6 linked regions of the Mus musculus genome follow. The protein of the gene in region 5 interacts with the protein of the main gene of each other region in a pairwise test. Links are inferred from orthologs where the notes say so. Each region holds a gene or a part of one and is shown on either strand. Other genes may lie near its edges. The genes, in order: Ubqln1, Ammecr1, Creb5, Il16, Efemp2 and Nufip2.

Evidence for each region.
Region 1: the proteins of Efemp2 (region 5) and Ubqln1 interact in binary tests that used the Homo sapiens proteins (3 or more experiments, as listed by UniProt). The link is inferred for Mus musculus from reciprocal best matches to the Homo sapiens genes EFEMP2 and UBQLN1.
Region 2: the proteins of Efemp2 (region 5) and Ammecr1 interact in binary tests that used the Homo sapiens proteins (3 or more experiments, as listed by UniProt). The two-hybrid records come from large-scale screens. The link is inferred for Mus musculus from reciprocal best matches to the Homo sapiens genes EFEMP2 and AMMECR1.
Region 3: the proteins of Efemp2 (region 5) and Creb5 interact in binary tests that used the Homo sapiens proteins (3 or more experiments, as listed by UniProt). The two-hybrid records come from large-scale screens. The link is inferred for Mus musculus from reciprocal best matches to the Homo sapiens genes EFEMP2 and CREB5.
Region 4: the proteins of Efemp2 (region 5) and Il16 interact in binary tests that used the Homo sapiens proteins (3 or more experiments, as listed by UniProt). The two-hybrid records come from large-scale screens. The link is inferred for Mus musculus from reciprocal best matches to the Homo sapiens genes EFEMP2 and IL16.
Region 6: the proteins of Efemp2 (region 5) and Nufip2 interact in binary tests that used the Homo sapiens proteins (3 or more experiments, as listed by UniProt). The two-hybrid records come from large-scale screens. The link is inferred for Mus musculus from reciprocal best matches to the Homo sapiens genes EFEMP2 and NUFIP2.

The regions. Positions count from the first base shown.
Region 1 is NC_000079.6:58,212,854-58,216,997, reverse strand, and holds the start of Ubqln1 (ubiquilin-1), read left to right. Parts: upstream 1-1,344; 5' UTR 1,345-1,561; coding exon 1,562-1,714; intron 1,715-4,144. UniProt on the Homo sapiens protein: Plays an important role in the regulation of different protein degradation mechanisms and pathways including ubiquitin-proteasome system (UPS), autophagy and endoplasmic reticulum-associated protein degradation (ERAD) pathway.
Region 2 is NC_000086.7:142,855,227-142,858,726, forward strand, and holds part of Ammecr1 (AMME syndrome candidate gene 1 protein homolog), read right to left. Parts: intron 2,347-3,500; coding exon 2,250-2,346; intron 422-2,249; coding exon 307-421; 3' UTR 1-306.
Region 3 is NC_000072.6:53,286,104-53,290,102, forward strand, and holds the start of Creb5 (cyclic AMP-responsive element-binding protein 5), read left to right. Parts: upstream 1-1,199; 5' UTR 1,200-1,270; intron 1,271-1,271; exon of another isoform or gene 1,272-3,379; intron 3,380-3,385; exon of another isoform or gene 3,386-3,999. UniProt on the Homo sapiens protein: Binds to the cAMP response element and activates transcription.
Region 4 is NC_000073.6:83,729,599-83,733,763, forward strand, and holds the start of Il16 (pro-interleukin-16), read right to left. Parts: upstream 2,801-4,165; 5' UTR 2,671-2,800; coding exon 2,466-2,670; intron 1-2,465. UniProt on the Homo sapiens protein: Interleukin-16 stimulates a migratory response in CD4+ lymphocytes, monocytes, and eosinophils. Primes CD4+ T-cells for IL-2 and IL-15 responsiveness. Also induces T-lymphocyte expression of interleukin 2 receptor. Ligand for CD4.
Region 5 is NC_000085.6:5,477,690-5,480,021, forward strand, and holds part of Efemp2 (EGF-containing fibulin-like extracellular matrix protein 2 isoform 1 precursor), read left to right. Parts: intron 1-237; coding exon 238-354; intron 355-511; coding exon 512-631; intron 632-2,112; exon of another isoform or gene 2,113-2,129; intron 2,130-2,332. UniProt on the Homo sapiens protein: Plays a crucial role in elastic fiber formation in tissue, and in the formation of ultrastructural connections between elastic laminae and smooth muscle cells in the aorta, therefore participates in terminal differentiation and maturation of smooth muscle cell (SMC) and in the mechanical properties and wall integrity maintenance of the aorta.
Region 6 is NC_000077.6:77,684,729-77,688,938, forward strand, and holds the start of Nufip2 (nuclear fragile X mental retardation-interacting protein 2), read left to right. Parts: upstream 1-1,410; 5' UTR 1,411-1,499; coding exon 1,500-1,779; intron 1,780-1,827; exon of another isoform or gene 1,828-3,083; intron 3,084-3,558; exon of another isoform or gene 3,559-3,603; intron 3,604-4,210. UniProt on the Homo sapiens protein: Binds RNA.

The sequences.
Region 1 (4,144 bases), on a different chromosome or scaffold from region 5:
CTTTCAGGGGAATGTGATGTGAAAACAGAAAGTTAGAGGGGGAAGGTGTGTGTGTGGGGTGGTTCATCATGGAAGGCAGCCTGGGTTAGTGCTTAGGGAGAATACAGCATGGAGGGAAACCATACAACAGGGGAACTAATAAAGTTGGAAAGATATATATATATGAAAATTCCAAAATCCTTGCTTGCCTAATGGGGGGAACTTTCTACCCCAAGTAACAATTTTCTCACACCTAGACATAACGCTTATAACTTCTTCCTGTGATTGAACAATGCTGGCAGAAATGTAAGTGATATCAAGTGACGCCGTATTGCCATTTTATACTTTGAAACTCTGACCCAGATTTCAAAGAGCTCTGCTAAGAAGTGTTTATGCAACCACAGTTAATCATAGAACAGGGTTCGATGGCCCAAGAGCAGAACTATGGAATGCCTTTGCATATTTGGGTCACGGTACACTGTCAAGAGTTCACATTTGTGCAATGCTGGTTAATATAAAGTGCTGGACTGTATTACACGTTATCTTTACGAATAAATGACGTGGGATCCATATGTGAAATAACTTATGTGTGCCTACATTATGCCGAAAATACTTTTTCAGCCATTATCTCTGATGCCACCTCAAGCCCGAGGTGTACAGTAACTTAATTGGACAGAATACAAAAGGCACACATCATCTAGGCTAACTCCTACCCGCTGGGCGGACAGTCCTAGGCATTCTGTTTCTGCCCCCACGCAGCTTGGAAGACAGACAATATGGGTTGCCCTATCTGACCAAACCGGTTTGACTCCAGGGAGGGAAGCTCAGGCCTCACTGAAACAGTGAGCACCTGTGGATGCATTGGTTGCTCACTGGCGTCTGTTTCGCGGTCCTTTAAAGACCTTTCTCCATGGGTTTAGCTTTCAAGCCCCGAGCACAAGACAAGGCAATCGCAACTCCTTCCACCCGGGCACCAACACTACGCTTATTAAAATAAAGTAGCTCGCCGCTATTTCATAAGCAGACGCCCACGGGGACCAGGTGGGGAGGATACCGGGACCGTGAGCAATGGGCCAGACGTTTCTAGCAATTTCGCTGGCCGTGACGTCATCTTAGCGCACCATCACGGTGCCTGGCAGAAACCCCGTTTGCATTTCTTTCAACGAAGAACGGGAGACGCGAAGTGGGTTAAGTTCTCCCGCCATGCCCAGCACTCCATCGACCTTGAGGAGCCCGCGCTTCGTCCGCCGGCTAGAAAAGGATCGAGCGCTGCCATGCATGAGTCGGCTCCTTGGCCAACGCGCTACCCGGCGTGCCTCGCGCGGCCGGCCGCCAGGAGTCGGCGCGGCTACCAGCGCGTTACCCAGAGTGCCCTGCGCGGCGCCGGCGACGAGCGTGGGGGAGGTGCGGGAGGAGGAAGCGGCGGCGACGCGGAGAGTCCCCGCGTCCACACGGCAGCCGATCGCCCACCCGGGGCCTGCACCCGCAGCCCGCGTCCACGCACCCTCGGCGGCCCCGCAGCCTGTCACGCCTCGCGGACCCGGCCGCAGCCCGCAGTGTCGCGCTCGCCTGAGTCACCGCCATGGCCGAGAGCGCAGAGAGCGGCGGCCCACCGGGCGCGCAGGACAGTGCGGCCGACGGCGGCCCCGCAGAGCCCAAGATCATGAAGGTCACGGTGAAGACGCCTAAAGAGAAGGAGGAGTTTGCCGTGCCCGAGAACAGCTCGGTCCAGCAGGTGAGGGCGCCGGCCGGGCAGCCGCCGCGTCGCTGACGGGGCGGGAAGGGCGGCCTGGCCGGGCGGCGGCCCCGGGCAGCTCCGGTCGGACCCCGCTGGGTTCCGCTGCGTGAGCTGTGCGGGGCCGGGCCGGGCGAGCCGCGCGGCCTGGGCTGGGCTGCGCCGCGGCCGCCGAGCTCCGGGCCCCGGGCCCCCACTTCTCACAAAGGGCCGGGCGCTGCGGGGCGGCTGGGCGCGGGCGGCGCTCGTCCTTTGGCCAGGCTGGGTGGGGGGTCATTGTTTCACCTGCCTGCTAATTGGGGAGATTTAGGAGTGAGAAGCACGTGGAGGGTTGGTTCTCGGTTTTGAATGCTGAACTCCTTCCCATCTTCGAGCCTCCTATATAAAAATTATGACGTGGAACTTGTTTTCAGTCGCATTGTGATAGCTCACGCCTGAAAGGAGAAAAGTAAATGACTTTGATTCATTGGCGACTTGCTGTTTCTGTTACAATACTTCCGTCATCGCTTAGCTGCCAGTCATCGGATAGGTTATTGTTTGATCTTTAGGGAGACGAGACAGACACCTAGCTGGGTCTTAGCAGTTGGTTGCAAGGAACCTGCAAGAAAGCACAGTAGGTGATAAGGGGAATTCTTATCAAGTAATTGCTTTAAAGTCTATTCAGGCAAACAAGCCTTGCAGTTAATTAAGAGCCTTGGGAGAACCAATCATGTATGTTTCAACACAGTCTAGGGCACTTGAATTGTTGACAGTATCAAACATTGTAAACAGTCTTATGCGAGGAAGCAAAGTATCAACCACTGGAATGTACTTTTAAGTTCTCTCAAGGTTTATCTAGTTCCAAAGGTGAGGTCGGGTTTTTCTGAAGCAGGAGGGTGTGTGGCACCATTGAGAGAAACTCTTGTTGATTGGATCATTACCATTGTTTGTTAACGCTGCTATAAAAAATTTTACCTTCTTTATATTCCCAGCAGGTCTGTATGTCACCCACAATTGACATTTTCCAGCCTTTTCTGCATCATGCATCTCTTATTTCTAAAAATACACTTTAAAGTTGTAAATATCAGTATTACCCTTATAAGGTCGGCAAGCAGCATGGGTGTTAGTGGCTTGAGAACAACTTTTTTTGAAAAATGGTATTCCACTTATGTTTGAGGTGCGATGATGGGACATGGTTGCCTTTGCTGGTTTTTGCAGACCCGTCTACACCTGTGTCAGCCAAGCACGTGACAGCTGAAGTCTGTTACAGTTGACGGCACACTTTTCGTCTTCCGTTTTCTCTTCAGTCGAGCTTTTGTCACCTCTGAAGATTTTTATTTTCCCAACAGAGTTTGAGTTTGCATAAACAGAGTCCTCTCTAATGTGGTCTTTTGGATAAGGCTTTTTTTCTTCTTTCTCTCACTCAGCATATTTTTTTGAGATTCATCCTTGAGAAGGTCTGTACCCCTCCCACCACAGAGATCTGCATACTAGGCACAGCCTCCAGTCTACCACTGAACCAAGTCCTCAGCTCAGTACTTAACTGCTCAGTGCCTTTCCATGAATGTGCCATAATCTGCCAGGGTTTTTTCAGCTGGTTGTAGTTCTTGAGAACAGCAGCCTCATATAAATCCTTTAGAGACCATATGCTTTTTATCTGTATTAGAAGAGCTCTGGTTACACTTTAGATCTTTGGGGTTTTTTGTTTGTTTGTTTTTGGTTTTGTTTAAAAGACAGGTTTCCACTCTGTAACTCCGGCTGTCCTGGAACTCTCAGTGTGTAGACCAGGCTGGTTTCAAACTCATCTGCCTCCCAAGTGCTGGTATTGAAGGTATTCACCACCATGGCCTGCCAGTTCTGTTTAGTTTTATAAGAAACCTGAAAAGTGTACTATTTTGCAGTTCAGTCAACATCATATGGGTGTGTGCTCCTGTCCCTCTGTCTCCTTGTTAATATTTGGTATGAGCAGGGTTTCTTGTTTTTGTTGTTTTCATTTTTTTGAGACAGGGTTTCTCTGTATAGCCCTGGCTGTCCTGGAACTCACTTTGTAGACCAGGTTGGCCTCGAACTTAGAAATCCGCCTGCCTCTACCTCCCGAGTGCTGAGATTAAAGGCGTGTGCCACCACGCCCGGCCGTTTTTGGTTTTTTTAATTGTAACTATTTAGTGAATGTGTGGACATATTAAATTAGGAAGCTCTTGAGTCTTCCTGAGAGTCCCAGTTTAGTTTTCCATCTTCCTGGCAGCTTCCACATTTTATTTTTGGACATTAGAAATAATGCTTTATAAATAGAAAAATTATTTAGGTGGGCATCTATAGGTTTGTGGGTTCTTTGTTTTTGTAATAGTGACACTAGAATTATGAATTCTGTGGAAGCTTATTATGTTTTACTATGCTGTAACTAAAAATGACTTTAATGGATAAAAGTAAGGCTTTCCTAAGGTAACTTAT
Region 2 (3,500 bases), on a different chromosome or scaffold from region 5:
AACCTGTCTGAGATAGCAAAGCAAAAAAAGATACCTAATATTGTAAGGAAAGAAAACTTCAAAAGCTGTATGTGCTGAAAAAAAAATTCAGTGATCTAAAATAATAAAACAGGATCTTCTTAACAAATGCCATTGTCCTACCCGTTACCATGATGCTCTTAACTAACAATGTCGAAGCTTCACCATGGCAACGGAAACTATCATCATAAAATGGTACAGTAAAAGAGATAGCTAGACCAAGAAGGTGTAGGGTCTCCTGGGAAGAGGTCTGCAGAGAGGCCCAGTGACTGGTTGTGCGGCTCAGTGTCAGGAATAATGGTTGTATGGCGGAAGGGGATGCCCGATGCCATTTTGGAAATGATGATGCTGGCGATGAGCAAGGTATTCAGCATAACTCAAGGTCATCTTTTCACTACGGTACCTGAAGGGGAAGGCGGGGAAGAGAAAAGTTAACATTGAGAAACACATGGTATGCTATTATCAGAGCCAGAGGGACTCTATGAGATCATTTTATATAGTGGGAAACAAGAAGCCATGAGAGAAGCAATTAGTAGCCCAAAGTCACAGACTTGGTAAGCAGCAAAGCTGAGATCAGAACACTGATCTTAGTGCTCTTTCTGCCCTTCTACTCCAGGAATGACATTGTCCCTTTTACCCACTTTGCTATCAGGAAGGAACAAGGAAGAGGCTATCTTTTACCATCATGTCTCTATCGCCATCATAGACACATCTCATTCATTGGGCTCCTTTTATAGCAGAGACCTTCCATCACTTCCCCCTTTACTCTTCCTTTGTTCACACATCTTGGGTCTGCTCTATGCTACACGTCAGTACTGAAGCCCTCTCACTTTGTCTCTATCTAGTTACTTGTCCACTACCCAACTTTTCAGGAGAGTAAGCACAGTTTCTCCCCTCAGGTTCTTTCTTTTCCTAGCAGGTGCTCAGTGTCCCTTGGTTCTGCCACTGTCCTTTCATGGCTGTCAGAGGCTCCTTAGGATTCTCTTTGGAACTTTCCATGATACTCCCACAATCCACTTGTTCTGTAGGCTCATGGATTTTACACCTCCACCTTTCCCTGATGCTGTCCCTGCTTCTCATCTCTTTGACAGCTGCTTCTATTCCTACCTTGCAGGATTTTCCTTGGTTCCACCATTCGCAGTTTAAACTTTACACTCTGCCCTCCTCCATGCACTGGGATCCCCACAGCTTTGACTTTGACCTGCTCACAGATTATTCCAGGCTATCAGCTCTATCATGAACCTTCTAGACTATATTTCCCTTTAGTGACATTTCCTACGTGCGCTGAAAGACCTGCCAAATCATAGTGCTTTATATTTCTTAGAACTGGCTTTGTACTGCACCACTTACGTGCTTTGATTCACAGCACATCTTCAGGAATCCCTTTCCTCCCTTGCTCTCTACCTGCCAAATAGTCTACTCGTTCTTTAAAGCCAGCCCTAAGTCCACCTCCACTTTGAAGTTGTCTGTTACCCACTGACTTCCTGGAGTTCCCCGTCCCTAGCACTATGATCCTACACATCTGTAATAGTCTGCCTTGTAGTAGTGATTCTTTTTATTCATGCCCTTCCATTCTCCTTCAACTATAAGCTTGAGAAGAACAGAAATGGGGACATTCTCAAATTTGTAACTGTGCAGAGCTGAGAACAATCCATTTTTTGAAACTACAGGCATGTAATACAATTTTCTGGAACTGAAATAAATGGAAACAGTACCCCATTCTTCTAAAATGTTCAATACTTTCCTTAAGTAAGAATCCCTATTATTCCATGTTGACATTTATTTAGCATTCACATTCAGCTCAATTTTGTTTTTCAATAAGCTTTCATAGTAGACTCCTATCACTGCCAAAATTCTAAGGTTAAATTTAAATTTTCGGACTGCTTATTGGAATCCTGGGGTTCTGCTAGGCGACGTCAAAAGCTTGTGAATAGCTAATTCTAGTACTTTCTCCAGCAAGGTAGTTTCAAGTCTCACAGGGCTTGCTGTACAAAGCCCAAGTCATCGTATGGAGCTAGAGATGGAGAGGATGACTTCGGGTATCATGCAGGCTTTACTGCACAGCAGACTTCCGGTGTAGCCACTCTCAGGACACTCTGCCATTTGTTTCCACTATTTTAGACAAGAGAAGCAAGGATAGTTCGAGAGTCTTAAAAAAGAAAATCAGGTATAGGCATATCCTTCAAAGTCCACTGGTTAGTTACAAACTGCCATCCCAGCCATCCCAGTACCTGGTCAGCTTTATGGTTTTTCTGAATTCATTAGTAATTGGAGCTTTGTATCCTCCTTTTCTCAGTAATGAGTCTATGGTCTGAATATGGTCCCATCCTGTGCAGAAGAAGCCAGATAAAATATCAGTTAAGCAGTGTCACAAAAGCACCTTTGGTTAAATACAGAAATGACTTGGTAGAGGTCAGCTATCCCTGTCACCAAATGCCATCAATTCCTTTGGTCCTAAAAACCAGTCAGATAGAAGAGCTAACATTTTATCCTTGTATAGAATCAGGTCCATCACAACATGCCTTAAATTGTCTAAGAAACTACTCAGTCATGTCTCTGTCACAAATCACAACCAGGTACTCTTCTCTAATGGTCCTACCTTCAAAAAGAAGGGAAAGCCTAAATAAATAAAACATGACTTGTGTCAACTTACTAGTTGGGGCTCCAATCCCTATTTCATGGTGATTGCTGGTCTTAATGGTATCTTCTATGCTTGATAATCTACATTTGTGTGAAATATTCAATGAATACCATTGTTTCTAATATGAATGCTATTCTAATATCTTTATGGAGTTGGTAATCCTGCAGTATTAACACATTTTCTAAAGCAATCCAAATAAATCTTCACATAACTGCCTTAAAGATTAACATTTTTATTTGAGGTTTAACATTAAAATCTATTGTTATATCTCTCATATTTATATGAGCATACATGAGAAAAGCACATTTAAGTGCCTTCTGAAAAGATAAGTGCGATAGAATTTTTAAAAAGCATTTAAACTAATGTAAACTTAGAATTCAGTAGTGGCTAGGAAGGACAAACTACTATAGTGAAGTTGTTTGGTGTCACCATATTGGTTCATAAAGATGTGTGGCATATCTGTGAAATAAAATTATTTTTGATTACGAAGTGTAGAGTAAACATAAAAAACTTCATGTTTTCACAACACCCCCAATCTTAATGGAAAGCTTATAGTTTCACTATTAGCTGAATGAGTTATGGCAGTCACATAAGAATTGTTAGATACTGACAATGAATGACATCAAACTACATTTGATGTAGTTTCTAAACCTAAGGCCTCTTAACGCCATCAAAATTACTGCACACTGGTGCCTGGAAAACTGTGTTACAAAGCAGTAACAAACAGCTGCCTAAAATAAACCCCTAACTTCTACAAATGTGTGCCATTTTAAAAGTTTGCACTTATGAGGATGCTGTCAGACATCAGTGAAAGGTGCAGATTCCATGTGAGTAATTAACC
Region 3 (3,999 bases), on a different chromosome or scaffold from region 5:
GAGATCTGGGGTTAGACATGCGCTAGAGTGGTCCCTGATGATCAGGAGAGCTCCTAGCCTTCTGAGTCTGTCTGCCTCAGCTCAGCTGTGAAATAGAGATAATTACAACACACTCCCCGCTTTTCCTTATTCTGTCAAAGTCATATGAGGAAGAAGAAAATGGTGTGGCTTCAAGTGTTTGGCAAAGTGTGAGCTGTTGTTGGATGACAGTGGTCATTTCGAACAGGCTTTCAATGCTCCCCAAAGGGAGAGAGAGCTTCCAAAAGGAAATCTAGCCCTTGCCAGGGATGAGGAAGGTGAGAGCGGTGGCTTCTGGCCCATGCTGAAAAAGGTCAGTCCTCTTTTCCCTTTGCAGACCTGGCCCTAGATCCTGTATTCTAGCCCTGGCTCGACTGCTTCCCAGCCGGCGAGCTTGGGCCAGTAGCAGAGGCTCTGGAAGCAATGGCCAGGGCCCTTCCGGCGCTGACGCGGAGTCTAAATCCGGCTCATCATTTGGCTCTTGGCTGAGATTCGCCTTTCGCCTTTAGAGAGATTCTCTCACAGGTCAGCACATGCAAGGTGCGAGACCAGGGAAGGCTGTGTGTAGTCCTACTGAGTGTGCACAAGAAGTTATATGCCCTTGAGCGTGATGAGGAGAGGGGCGGCGAAATGGAGATACTAAGAAGCCAGCATGCAGAGAACGCTGCAATGAGGTCATGGCTGTCACAGGCAAAGGATCTGGGTATCTTCGGTGGCTGGGGTAGGGAAGTAGGAAGTGGCCTGCATTTGTAAGTGTAAATGTCTCTTTCTACCTCCTTCAGCATCCTTACCACCTCATGCACACACCCCAAACCTTACTTCTTTCTGACCCTACAGACACTTCTTGCAGAAGAGCTCGTGCCGGTGTCTCCTGCGTGGCTCTGTTTGAAACCTTCAGGATTGTTTCCAAGCTGACTCACACCACTAATGTCGGGGGGCCGTGTTACTCGGCGCTGGGCTGTGCAAGCTGTTGCTTGCGCGATCGCGGACGCCGCCGCAAGCACCCGGGTCCGCTCGAGGGGCGGGATTTGGGCGGGGCGGAGACCGGGCCCGCCCCCTCGGCGTGCGGGCCCCGCCCCTCTCTCCCTCCTTTTCCCCAACGGACCGCAATGATTTAGAAGTTCAGGAATCCCACGTGACGTCACCGGGGGGGTGATGTAATGCACTCTAAATAGAATGTATTGTAATCTTTGCTCAGTCCAACGTGGTCCCTTCACCCGGGCTCGGCTCTTGCCTTCTCCACACTTGTTTGGTAAGTTCCTAAAAATACGGCGCGGCCACTTCTGGGCCTTTTGCATTTAGCCACTTTCGCTGCACTTGCCGCGCGAGCCGACTCCGGAGCGTCCTTGTTTGCAGGGGTTGGTTCATCGCTGCAGCCGCGAGGTTACTTAGTCCAATGGGCAGGTCACAGGGCAAGGAGTAGAAAGGATGCGATGCATTTTTTCCCCCTTGATTTGTGTTTGTAAACACTTTGGCGGATCAGAAGGAAGTCCGGCCCCAATTGCTGGTGGACTGTGGAGTTGTGCTGTGTCCTGTAGTCACCCAGAGACCCCACGCCGTGTCCGTCCCGGAGCGCTTCTTGGTGATTGCTGCGCCGTGCGACTGGAGGGATGCTGAGTGGAGCCAGCGCCGTGTCCGACCCAGTGTGCGTGCGTGTATGGGAGCGCGCGTGAGTTTCCCTGACACGGGGAACAGTTATGAATCGGGGGTGTATGTTTGCCTCCAGAGCCCCGGCATGGTGTGGAACCCTTCTGAAGTGTGGTCAAGCGGCGGTGGTGGTGGCGGCGGCGGAGGCGGCAGTGGTAGCAGCAGCAGCAACAGACCAGGAACCTGGAGCCTCCTCGCATCCCGTTTCTCAGTGATGCAGCGGAACCCCGGGAGAAAGTTAGCAAACTTCCAACCGTTGCGGCAAAGTCGCCTGGTCACCTAGGGGCAGCCGAGCGAGTTCGCAGGGGGTTCTCCCTCTCCCGGGTGCCCAGCGGCCGCTGCCAGTTCTCGCGACCGGCCGCCGGCTGCAGCGGGAGGGTCGGTTGCCTTGGAGGGGGACTTGACTTTCGCTCCAGGCGCTCCAGCTCGAGAGTGCTCCGCAGCCCTCGCCTTCACTCCTGCAGCCGCCTCCCGCCTCCGTCCCCTTTGCGCTGGCACTCTTACTTCTTCCGGGCTGCTGCCCCAAATGACAGCTGGGGCCCGAGCCGCACTGCACCCAGGCGGTTCTCAGGACCGGGCGACAGAGTCTGCCTTTGAGCCAGATTCTTTATCGAACCGCTTAAACTTTTCACAAAGTTCTTAAAGGGTTGAGACAAGCAGACACCGCCCCCACTAAGCCACTTTAGAGGGACTATAGCCCGCTTTAATTTTTCATTTATTTTCTAGTCATAGATTTATTTCCAGGGAGTGTCTAGTAGAAAAAGCTCCAGCTTTCCCTGGACGAGTGCCGCCCCCACTTGATGCTGGTTCAACGCTGGGAACTAGAGTGGGCTACTTGTACATCGTTGTCAGTATCAGCAACGCTTGCTTGGTTTTTTATTTTTCCCTCTTCCTGACATGTGTCAAAGAATAAAGGCTGGCTACAGGTCCATTACGTCATTCTGCAGGCCAGTAAGTGTTTTATTAAGGGCTTCAGATATTCAAGGGTTTGGGGGCTCAGAATGCTGTCAAAGCAACTATGCCCCCATCCCCCGGGGCAATTGCGGGTTCTCTGGACACAGCTATTGCCCTCTCTTTCCCTACCCCTCTTCCTCCATCCCTCTCCCGCCCACCTCGTTATCACTCGGCCTGCCCCCGCCTTTTACAGTTTCCCCCAGGGGGAATGCTGTCCCAGGAGTGAGCTGAAGAGCTTCTGGTGCCTGAGCGAGCTCAGTACCTGATGAACGCTCAATCTGCCCTTTTCTATTATTTAAGAAAGGCACTATCCAGGCCCGTTTTTCCCACGCGAGAATGTTCAGCCTGGATAGAAAAATCCCTGGAAAGGTTTAGAAGCCTTATATGCTAATAGCTTGTGCCTGCAGTGACTTAGGAAAGCAATAAGCCACAGCTAAGAGCCCAGAGCCCCGTGAACCGAGCCTAGGAGAAGGATGAAGGACCTGACTAAATCAGGTTTAGCGGGAAAGGATCTAGATTTGACATTTTATTTCCAAAGTCAAGGAAGTGTCTGAGAGCTGAAAGTACCATACAACACTTTGCTGCTGCTGCGCGCGGTACTTTCTTATCCTTATCCTTGAGTTTCTATGTTTGTAGAGGAAGTTAAACGCCCAATTTAGAGAACTGAGTTCTTCCCCACTTGCTCTTTAAAAGAACACCAGCAGCAAAAACACCACCACGTGTGACTTGTTTCGGGGACAAAGAGTGAAAACTTTTGGGCGTGAGTGAATAATGATAGCAGAAATCCAGTAAAAACAGACAGAGGCAGAAGCTTTGGGCTGGGGGACAAGGTGTTTGAAGGCGTTTTGATTTGGAGATGGAGGAAGCTAAGTAGAGGAAATTTTATGTTCTAAATAGGTGGCATTCTTGAAGAACACGTGTTTGGTTATAATTAGATCTACTTTCTCCAACATACTCTGGCCATAGAGCAGGCTTTGTGGAGCTCGTGGCTGGAGATCGCTTGACACCCCTTCTTCAAGTTTGTGGCAGCATTATTTATTGGCATCTAGCGATGAAGTGGCATAAGTCTCCTATGGGAAGCATGGGCATTGAAAATGTTAAAATTCTTGTTTGTGATGCAGAGACCTAAAGGGGAAAATGGGCAGGTCACGGGCCCTGGACAGTGTGATTAATGATCACTGATTTAGTGATCAGTGATTAGTGGTTTTATTCAAACTGTTACCTCTGACCAGAAGCACACATCAGAGGATTAACAGGCTCTTTAGATAAATGCTCATTAGTGGAAGGGGAACAGCAAAGATAATAGGCATGCACCCAGGGACAACTTTCGAAGAAAATCATTCCCGTCTTCAGAATAATAAGCTCTGTTAACAGAAAGCC
Region 4 (4,165 bases), on a different chromosome or scaffold from region 5:
ACCACACAAAAATCCCAGCATGGATGGGGAATGTGGGCAGGAACTCCCACTCCCACTTGAGAAGCTATTGATGGCTGCTGGGAGAAGAAAGCCAGTTTACTTTAAGAATCTGACCACTGGTAGGTCAACTACACTCCAAGGTATGGCCTCATACTCAAGAGACTTGGGCAACACAAATGGAACTTGATAAGCTTTTTTAAAAAGACTCAAAAGTAAGTGGGTAAGAAGGTAGGGATGGATCTGGGAGGAACTGGGGGATATGGGGAGTGAGTGGAATCAAAATATATTACAAAGAAAAGTCTAAACAAATTGAAAAATTATTATTTAAAACATTTTTCAGTGCTTAGAACATTTATTGAAGTAAAAAATGTTGGAACTAAGCTGACTAGAAGACATAGTAAGTATTCCAATTTCTGAAATATAGCTGTGTGTCATGGAGTGGCAACATGCTTTGTGGAGGAGCTCAAGAAGCCAAAGTCTGACCTTCAAAACCTACTGAAGCCTTATGTGTCTTGGTTTTGTTACCTGTCAAATGGGATGATAACAGAGGCTACTACTCATAAAGTTTATGATAACAAATGGAAGGATGGAAGTTTGTTCTCAGCCCTGTGTTAGTTGGTTATTGTCACTATGCTGGCCATCTTTGTCACTATTACTTAAAGTTAAGTCTCCTCCAAAGCCTTCTTTGTCCACAATCTATTGTTATATAACTAGTTAGTTCATTTGGTTTTTTTTATTTTGTACATGTTTTATTTTGTACATATTTATTATGTAGAGAGACACATAAAACCTAAGCAGTTGCTGAGACACAGTCAAAGCCTTCTTATTGACTCAGAAGGTCATTAATTGAAGCTTTGATATCCAGTTAAACTCTGTTCTTTACAAGAGTATCATGGTTATTGTCAACTAATTTTCAATTTTACATCTTTTAGTTTCTTGATTTTTTTTAAATTAGAAAATCCCAGCTTAATTGTTTTGTAGCCATAGGAATGTGTCTTGGACACTATTTGTTGGCATACGTTGAGGCCGACTTTGTAAGATGGCATATGAGATGAGTAAGTATTATAAGTATTTCTTGAGCTATCCCCATGTTCAGAGAGAGGCTGACAGCGCCTATGTCCCCTCCCATGTCATACACACATACTTCATTATCTCCTTTTGACACTTTTCAGTGTTGGAAAAATATTGCCCAGCTATCACCTGTGCAGTAAATATGACAGTCCCCTGCCTCCTTCAGCAACTGCTATGACCATTCCTGGACTTGTGTGGTTTGGCTGGGAGTAGCAAAAGCCACCCTTGAGGGATGAGGAACAAAAGGAGATGGACAGACATGTGAGACTGGACCAGCCAACTACCTCTGACCCTTACTGTGGCTTGAGGATATATTCATCCAGTTAGGAGAGCATAAGGTAAGAAAAAGAGAGGAGTGCTCATGGCTGACTGAGCCAGGAGTCCTTACCTTGGACAGCAGGGAGATAGCCACTGTGTCCAAAGAGAAGTCAGGCATACTCCAGGCTACAGGGCCACACCTACGCTCTTCTCTGCCCCACTGAGGCCCTAGAATACTGCTTTTTGGGCTTTTATAATCTGATTCAAAGTTTGAGCTTACATTTTATATCATGGTACACATCATTAACCACACATAAGATACACAGATAAGTAAATGTTTATGAATTCATAAATAAACATATATAACTAAAGCAAGACAGCATCACATTAATACCATTATTATGTTATAAATAAAACCACTAGAAAGTTCCTAGAATATATGACTGGGAGAGAGAAGCCACAGGGGTAAAGCACTCGCCTTTTAAGAATAAGGAGCATAGAGAGTTTCAAACCTTAGCACCCACAGGAATGCACAGTGGGTGTGGTAGCCTGCCTATAACCTCGGCACTTGGGAAGCTGAGCCAAGGCATTCCCCAGGGCAAACCAGCTAACTACACTAGTCAAACAGATGATCGGAGGAAGAGCCTGCCTCAGCGACCAATTGAGGAAGGTGCCCCACACCAACTTTTGACCTTCACGTGCACAAGCACACACATACACAGACACCCACTCACATGTGTGTCCTCACACGGGAACACACACATATATACACATTCTATACACATATACAAGCAAGAAGATTGATTTTGTGAAGAATCTTATACATTTGTGAATCCTATTCATTTTATATGTAAAAGAGAATTTCTCATTAACTGTATTGATTTCCAGTCTACTTGAGAGTCATGTTGGAAGCCAGGAGCCTGAAGCTTCCTTTGATGCTTCCAGCCGGGTCCTGTGGTATATGGCTTGGAGTTCTCATTTCCCCAGATTTCCTGAGTCTCTCTCCATGTGCCCTTGAGTAGCTAGCTGACTCTGGTTGTGACCGACATTTTTCTGTCACTTTTGGGGGCTAAGTTCCCTGCTGGTCTTTTTCCTATGCTGAGGGAAGTGTGAGGAAAGGGCTCAGAGTTACTTACAGTTAGCCCGGCCAGGTACGAGATGCCATGAGCAGAGGGGACGGGGTGATGTTGCCTGACATCCCAGCAGCGGGGTGCGCCTGTAGATGTGCCAAAGAGCATATTGGTGGTGACCTCCTCCAGCTGGCAGAGCAGGGCAGCCACATCCTAGCTGCTGCACCTGTCCATTACAGATGCACTTCTGCCCCCACAGTGCAAGACCCATGAAGAATCCCTATTCTGCATGGATCCTGACATCTGGGTCACAGTGCAGGGAGCTAGTAGTCTAGGAGCTGCTTCTGTGGCATCTAATTCTCTCCCCCAGGGACGAGTGTCGCAGGCACCACAGCTCCTGGTTCTCTGCCTTCCTTTCCCCAGGCGGCATGCTCACGCACAAGCTGCGCTCAGCAACCCCATCTGCTCCGTGCTCTTTTGGGCAGGGACCTCTTCATGTTTCTGGCAGACACCAGGCAACCTTGTCTAATTACAAGACTGACATAGATGGGTCCTCATTTCAACAGAGATCCGAAAGAACTTGGAGTCCCTTGCTGATTCGAAGCGCCTCCCAAACAGAAACATGGGACTCTTGCAGCCATTTGTTTATTTTCACTGCCTTGGGTTTTTGTTCCCCACGTATGGCGCTGTGCGGCTGCTGACAAAGAGCTGTGTTTAAGATGAAGAATATCTCACATATGGAAATATATTGCCAGTCTCAATAGGCATTGCAGACACAAACAATTCCTTCTCCTGATAAAATGTGTGTGTGTGTGTGTGTGTGTGTGTGTGTGTGTGAGTGTACTTTCCTGTGCACACACTTATGGAGGTAAGAGGTCAACACTAGCTGTCTTTCTTCTGTGGCTAGCCACCTTATTGTTTTAAGACATGATCTCTCACTAAACCTGAATCTTGCTGTTTCACTTAGGTTGGCTGGCCAGGCAGCCCCAGGATCTCTCTGTCTCTGCTGCCCAGTACTAAGCGTATAGACATAAAAAATGGAACCTACTTTTACGTGAGTACTGAGGATCTGAAATCAGGTTCTTGTGCTTGAAGAGGCATCTTCCTGATCCCTAAAATTACTGTTGGTGTGCCCCAACCCGCACAATAATCAGTTTCTATCATGCACTGTGATTCAGGCACCTGGACCATATGGGATAAAGCACGGTTCTTCACAGCCTACTGGGGACCACAGACACAGACAGATACCTTTCTAGTGTAGGAACTTTTCCAGCAGAGACTTGAGTTATGGCTGAAGCAACTCTTTGAAGCATCTCACCAAGGACCTACCCATGAGCAGAGACTTGGAAGGGGTCACAGGTAGGTAGCATGACCCTTCTGAATTTGATTTAGACAAATCTATTGGTGGCTGTAGAGCCTAGGGATGTGGAAGAGTGAACAGCAATGCCATAGCCTATTAAAGTTTAAGATGCCCCTCAGAAATATGACCTCACTGTGTTCTTATCAAATTCAATTCAAAGGGCTCCTCGACCTTTTCAAGTTCTTGGGTCTCTCATGGTGGGATCCAGAAGACATGGATGGAGAGAGTTGGCAAGAGGACAGGACCTCAGCTTTTGGCTTTCTCCTAAAATAAATCTGCTTTAGTTCTTTGTATATGAGTGTCTTAGTTAGGGTTTCACTGCTGTGAACAGACACCATGACCAAGGCAACTCTTATAAGGACAACATTTAATTGGGACTGGCTTACAGGTTCAGAGGTTCAATCCA
Region 5 (2,332 bases):
TTCTGAGTGGCTCTGCTAGGTTCTTGTTCTGTGACCTTGGTCTGGCTCCTGGTCTGATGCCTTACCTCACCCCAGTCCTCTGCTACTAGTGCACTCCTGTCACTAGACACGGAAGATTAAATGTGGGTGACTCAGCCCAGCTCGCTGACGAGGGCGGGCAGGGGTGGTTGCCGAGGTGAGCCAACTCAGGCCCCACCTGGCCTGTGTTCTACTTTCCCTCCCCCACCTCCATCTCAGACATAGATGAGTGTCGTTACCGCTATTGCCAGCATCGATGTGTGAACCTGCCGGGCTCTTTTCGATGCCAGTGTGAGCCAGGCTTCCAGTTGGGACCTAACAACCGCTCTTGTGTGGGTGAGGCTGTGCCAGACAAGGTTCTGGGATCCTGGGTGGAGATGTGTGACGTGGGGGCAGGATCTTCTTCTTGAGCCCAAGTTGAGTGTGTGTGTGTGTTTGGGGGGGTCTGGGCGTGACACTGCTCTCACCCTCCTGTTTGTCCTCGCACCCTCAGATGTGAATGAGTGTGACATGGGAGCCCCATGTGAGCAGCGCTGCTTCAACTCCTATGGGACCTTCCTGTGTCGCTGTAACCAGGGCTATGAGCTGCACCGGGATGGCTTCTCCTGCAGCGGTGAGAGTCACTTGTGCTACTGGATACAGCATCCCCCCCCCCCCCGCCTCCCCCCCCTCTGCCGCCTCCCTTAGCACTTGCAACATATTGGAGCAACTCCAGGCGCATGGTCATTTGCTTGGGGCTTCCGCACGTCTCCTTGCACTCACAGGCCTCCCTAAGCTCCGTCTTGAGCTTGTCGTTTGGCACTCCCAGCTTGAGGGGATGCTATGCTAGGGGCTTCTGAAGCTTGCCAGAGAGACAGAGAAGATGGAGGTGCCAGTCTTCCTGAAAGTTGAGTTGACTTGCATTGGAATCCTACACTGGGGAAAGTTTTCTCTTCTTTCTGGGCACATGTCTACTGCAGACAGGTTATTTGAGTATTAGGGGCAGTGATAACAGGCTTCATCAAGTCTCAGGCAGAAATAGTGGGAAGCACCATTTGTTTATCACTTAAAATTTTCAGTCTCATTTAGTCTGGCCAGGGATGATTGACTTTTGTAAAACAGGACATTAATATTCCTCCAGGTTGGCAGAACTGTGGAAAGCAAGCAGAGAGGTCAGAGAAAGTACTGACTTTCATCTTTCCACTTACTGAGATTGACATGACTGTCCAAGTTCAGAGGGGAAAGATGAGCCGGGCTGGGGTGTGAGCCCAGGCGTCTCACTGTGTTACCTGGCATGCCCTCATTTACTTTATGCTTTACCGGGAAGCACAGGATCATTGGTGTTCGGCTGTGTGAAAGGAACAAAAGCAAAGAGATAGGATGCTGCTCGGGGTAGGGTGGGGGGCACACACTTAGCCCAAGTCTGGGCATTCTGACCGCATATTGCAAGACTTGAAAAGAACAGAGCGGCTATCCCCTTGGGGCACCTGCTCATTTGACTGGCACAATGTGGACCCTTTCTAAAATGGGTTAGTAGGACTTAGGCCCAAGCCTCTAGATTCTTGCTGCTTTTTAAGACAGAGTCTATGTAACCCCGGCTGTTATAAAGCTCTCTGTGTAGACCAGGCTAGTCTACAGAGATCTGTTGGGTAGTGCTAGAATCAAAGGCACAGGCCACTATGTTAGGCGAATGCTTTGTTAAGTCTTAAAGTCCTGGGGAAGAGAGGTGCTCCGCATGCTGGAAGATTCCTTGTTGTAAGACAGGGTCTCACTGTGTAGCCCTGGCTGGCCTGCAGTCTCTTATGTAGTAGACCAGGCTGCCTCAAACCGATCTGCCTGCTTCTGCCTCTGCCTCCCAGATGTTGGGATCAAACACCCCACTGTTTGTTTTTCAAGGCATGGTCTTGTTATGTAGCCCTGGCTGGCCTTGATCTTGATATAATCCTGGCTTGGCTTCCTATGTGGACCAGGCTGGCCTTTAACTTGGTATAATCCACCTGCCTCTACCTCCCAAATGCTGGGATTATAGACATATAGCACCATGCCAAGCTTCAAACCTTTCTATTCTTTTTCTTTTCTTTTTCCTCTCCCTTTCCTTGCTGGGATGGAACCTAGAGCTTCAAGCGTGTTAGGCAAGTACTCTACCACTGAGTTATCCCCAGCCCCCAACCTTCCTCTGAAACCTGAGCCCCCCTTGAGCACTGTGGGTCTCCTTCTTTCCTTCTCTCTTCCCACATCCATCCTTATGGGGGTGCTGGGCTCCCTCTCTCTTGGTCAAGGTCTGTGGGACTCAGTTGTGAGGCCTCCCCTTGGCCCAGGGTCCTCATCCCCGCCC
Region 6 (4,210 bases), on a different chromosome or scaffold from region 5:
GTAAACTTTACATTTAAATTTTCCCTTGGGGGGAGGGCAGTGATGGTGGGGCATGCCTTTAATCCCAGCACTTGGAAGGCAGAGGCCAGCCTGGTCTACAGGAGTGAGTTCCAGGACAGCCAGGGCTGTACCAAAAAAAAAAAAAATCCCTTATAATACATAGACAAATGTATATCTAATTTAATGAATTTTAAAGCAATTATTCATGTAATAGCAATAGCACATTGGCTGGGGTATGCTGGTGTGTGTAGGACTTTAATCCCAGCATTCATGAGGCAGAAACAGGGGGAATCTCTTAGTTGGCCAGACACTTCTACTTAGGTAGTTCCAAGCCAATCAGGTTTACATAGTCTGTTTCAAAAACAAACCAGTCCAAAACAAACAAAACTCCTAGCCAAGTCCCCCAAATATATATTTCGAGGGTACCCCGTGTCTGTGCTTATCACAACCTTCTTCCTATCATAACAGGTTAAATTAACAGCATAAATTGCAAATACACCTTTACATTTCAATGTTTTCCTTAAATTTAATACAAAAATGTTTTAAAAACCCAAACCTTAAGAACTTTTAAAGGGTTCCTTTCTCCTTTATTTCACTTTTGAAAGTCTTAGTCTAAAATCTATTTTGGTTCCATAGTTGACCTCACCTGCAGTGTTTGATTAAAAAAACAACAAAAACACCCAAAAAACTTCAGTGTAGATTTTTTTCATTCCTCCCTCTCTCTTGCTTTCAACTACAAAGAAACAATGATTTAAGCCCTTTGTCCCCTTTTAGAAAATTACACAGATACCCTATTGTGGAACCCTATAATCCCTCCGTGGAAAGGAAGAGATTAGCATATGAATACAAAGCAAAATGAATCCAGAATACGAAAACGATCTATCGAGTTGTGAAGCTCTTGTATTCTTAAAAATGTATTTATTTCCTCTTTTTTGAATTGCCCCCTTCGTGGTTTAAGGGTTAAGGAAATTGAGCTTTCCTCTCTGGCTACCCGGAAAAGAATTAAACACACACACACACACACACACACACACACACTCACAACCCAACACATTCTAGGAGGTGCAAAACCAACAGATGGCTCCTAGCGCCAGTAGAATCGTCAGTGGAATCTGCTACACTCGACATCAGCTTGCTCGGTGTGAGGAGTGTAGAAAGTGCTGTTCGCTAACTGCGTGGTGAAGGAGAGAAAGCGATAGAAGAGAGAGCCATAATGCTGACGTTGAAGGCCCGGCCCTGTGAGGTTGCATAGGGTAAGTGGCGTTGGCCAGGCGGCGGTGGCGAAGGGGAAGGGAAGAGGATTTGAGCTAGGGGCGGGGCTTGACGCGCAGCGTGGCTCCTCATTGCTGGAGCACGGCTGCCAATCTCGCAGATCCTCTCGCTTAACCAGTGCGCTGGCGAGACGCGCTCAGATATACCGAGCGAGCGCGGAGAAGCAGTCTCAGATCCTGACGGTGCAGCAGCCCGCAGCCTCAGCCAGGGAGTCCCAGCCGCTTTCAATGGAGGAGAAGCCCGGCCAGCCACAGCCTCAGCACCATCACAGCCACCACCATCCGCACCATCATCCCCAGCAGCAGCAGCAGCAGCAGTCGCACCACCACCACCATTATTATTTCTACAACCACAGCCACAACCACCACCACCACCACCATCACCAGCAGCCTCACCAATACCTGCAGCATGGAGCCGAGGGCAGCCCCAAGGCCCAGCCCAAGCCGCTGAAACATGAGCAGAAACACACCCTCCAGCAGCACCAGGAAACGCCGAAGAAGAAAACAGGTCTGAGAGGGAGGGCGGTGGGGGAAGGGGGACTGGATTGGAGGGGGGGGAAGCGATGGGGGTGGGGCTAGATGGGAAAAGCGCGGACCCGGTCCGGGTGTGCGTCCCGCCGGGCCGGGGATGCCCCCTTCCATTCTTCCCGGGCGCGGGCCGGGCCGCGAGGTGGGGATTGCAGCGCCCTCTCCTTCCCTTTAGCATGGGAGAGGCCCAGCCAGGCCGGCGTGACCTTCCTCGGTCCCCGCCCCGGCCGGCCGGAGGCAGAGCTGTGCCCTCGGCCTTGGAAGTCCAGCCTTCATCTTCTTTTTCCCCTCTAGTGCGGGCCCTGGAGTTGCCTGAATGTGGGGGCCCCTAAGAAGGGGGTGAAACTCAGCCGCCCTAAAAAAATAAAATAAAAAATTCCCCCGAGGTGTATGTAATTCAGGCCTAGTGAATCCATCCTGATGCGGGTGGTGTCGCGAGAGCCGCTTGCAGGCGGCGACGAGCGGGGCTGAGGGCTAAGTTGAGGAAGCGTCCTCGCTCACCCGCCGCCCCGAGCCCACCTGTGGCCTTGGGGTTTGCCGTCTGGGTGTGTGGGGGACCCTATCGTCCCTCGGGTCATTTCCACCCCTAAACGCCCGTCTTGCGCGTCCGGACCCCGTTGTCTGTCCGCGAGGGCTTCTCCGCAGGCCGGCGCCCCTGGCCCGCTCGCCTCGGAGCCGGCGAGGCTGGAATGTTCTCTCCTCCTCGCGGGGCCGCTTCCTGTCCGCCATGTTGGAAGCTGATTCCTGTCACCGACTCCGGCCGGCGGAGGAGCGGAGGGGGAAGGGTGCCGAAGGCCACACGGCACGCCGGCCCGGCTGCCCCGGGACCCTCTGCGGCCCTTTTCCGGGTCCCCCCCGCACTGCGGGCGGCCGCCGCCCGCCGCCCCTCCCCCTCCGCGCCGCGCCGCGCCGGGGTTGTGTAACCCGGTGGCGGCCGCGCGGCCCCGGGCGGGTCCCTGGGGTGAGGGGCGGGGGCGGTTGGGGTGGGGGAGGGAAGCGGCCACGAGGGGAGCGGCCTGCACCGTGGCCCCGCGCGCCCGACGGCCGCGTTTCCCGCTCCCGGGTGCGGCGGGAGGCGCGGGCGGGGAGCGGGCCTTGAAGAGGAGCTTGAAGGGGGAAGGAGGCCCGGGCGGCGGCCGTGGCCGTAGCGTTCCGCTGGCCTGCGAGGGGCGAGGGGGATTCGTTTTGGGGAGAGGCGGTGCCTGAGGCCGGGTGGGGTACCCAGCGGGAACCAAGCTCCCGGGTCACGAGTTTCTCTGCCACAGGAATCTCATCTCCTGCCAGGTTCGCTCACGACTCCGCCTCGGAGGCTTTTTCACTTAGGCCTTTTTTCTTTATAGCAGCGCATTTCCTACCCAAAAAAAAAAAAAAAAAATGGGGGGGGGTTGGGGAACAACCTCTCAAACTTTGTTCCATTCGTTTTCCACCGAACACCTAAACTTCTGAGCTGGGTAGTGACTTTGTGGGAGGGATTAATCCGATGCTCTAATGGGTGGGACAACACGGGCAGTTTTGGCTTTCCTGTTTCTTTAACTATGAACTGGAAGTGACTTGTCCATGTGGTTGTCACCAGCCCTTTACCTTGGACAAGACCTTTTTGGTGGTTAAGAGGCGTTTTGGTGCATTTTAAAACCGACTTCCATCCCCTAACTGAGTATTATTTAACATTAAATGTGGAGCCTTGAGCTACTTAAAATAAGCATCAAAGTTTATATATTCACACGTTTTGTTTTGTTTTGTTTTGTTTTTAACTGAAAAGGGAATGAAGAAAGAAGTGTTAAACTTAGTCTTTCAAGTAATACAAGTAAGTTACTGGTGAAAAACTTACTGTAGACAATATAACTTTGAAGGCAGAGCTGAGTGGATATCAGATTTTCTTTTGTAGGGTAGTAGGGACTGATGATAGAGCAGAAGTGTTTAATTGTAAGGATTTACAGCAGCCTAGAAACTTAGGAATTATGTAACTGTATTAGTTTTGCTTTTCATGAGGTGAGAAAGTATCAAGGTTGCCCAGTGGTATTGTTCACAGATTCAGAATTTGTCTTTTATGAGGTTTATGTATTCCCCACAGGGCTCCTCACTGCATAGAAAGGCAGACCCTGAACCATTCATTGAAGGTGGCCCTCCTCACAATGTGTCTTAACCTGGGATGAAGAATGAGGAGGGAACTGGGTTTAGGAAATTTAGAGGTTATTAACAGTTGGGCTCAGCGGCTTTCCCGTATGTGGTTTGGTCGTTGGGTACTGTGCTAAAAAATCTAGAAAATGCTAGGGAAATACTTAACAAGTTTTTATGAACCATTACTTCCAAAGCTATGAGAAACTGGTTTTCTGGATCCAGAAGAGGGCACAGGAGACAAAACATGTTGAGTAATTGCAGTGTCAAATCTAAAAGCTAGATTTATTTGGGAC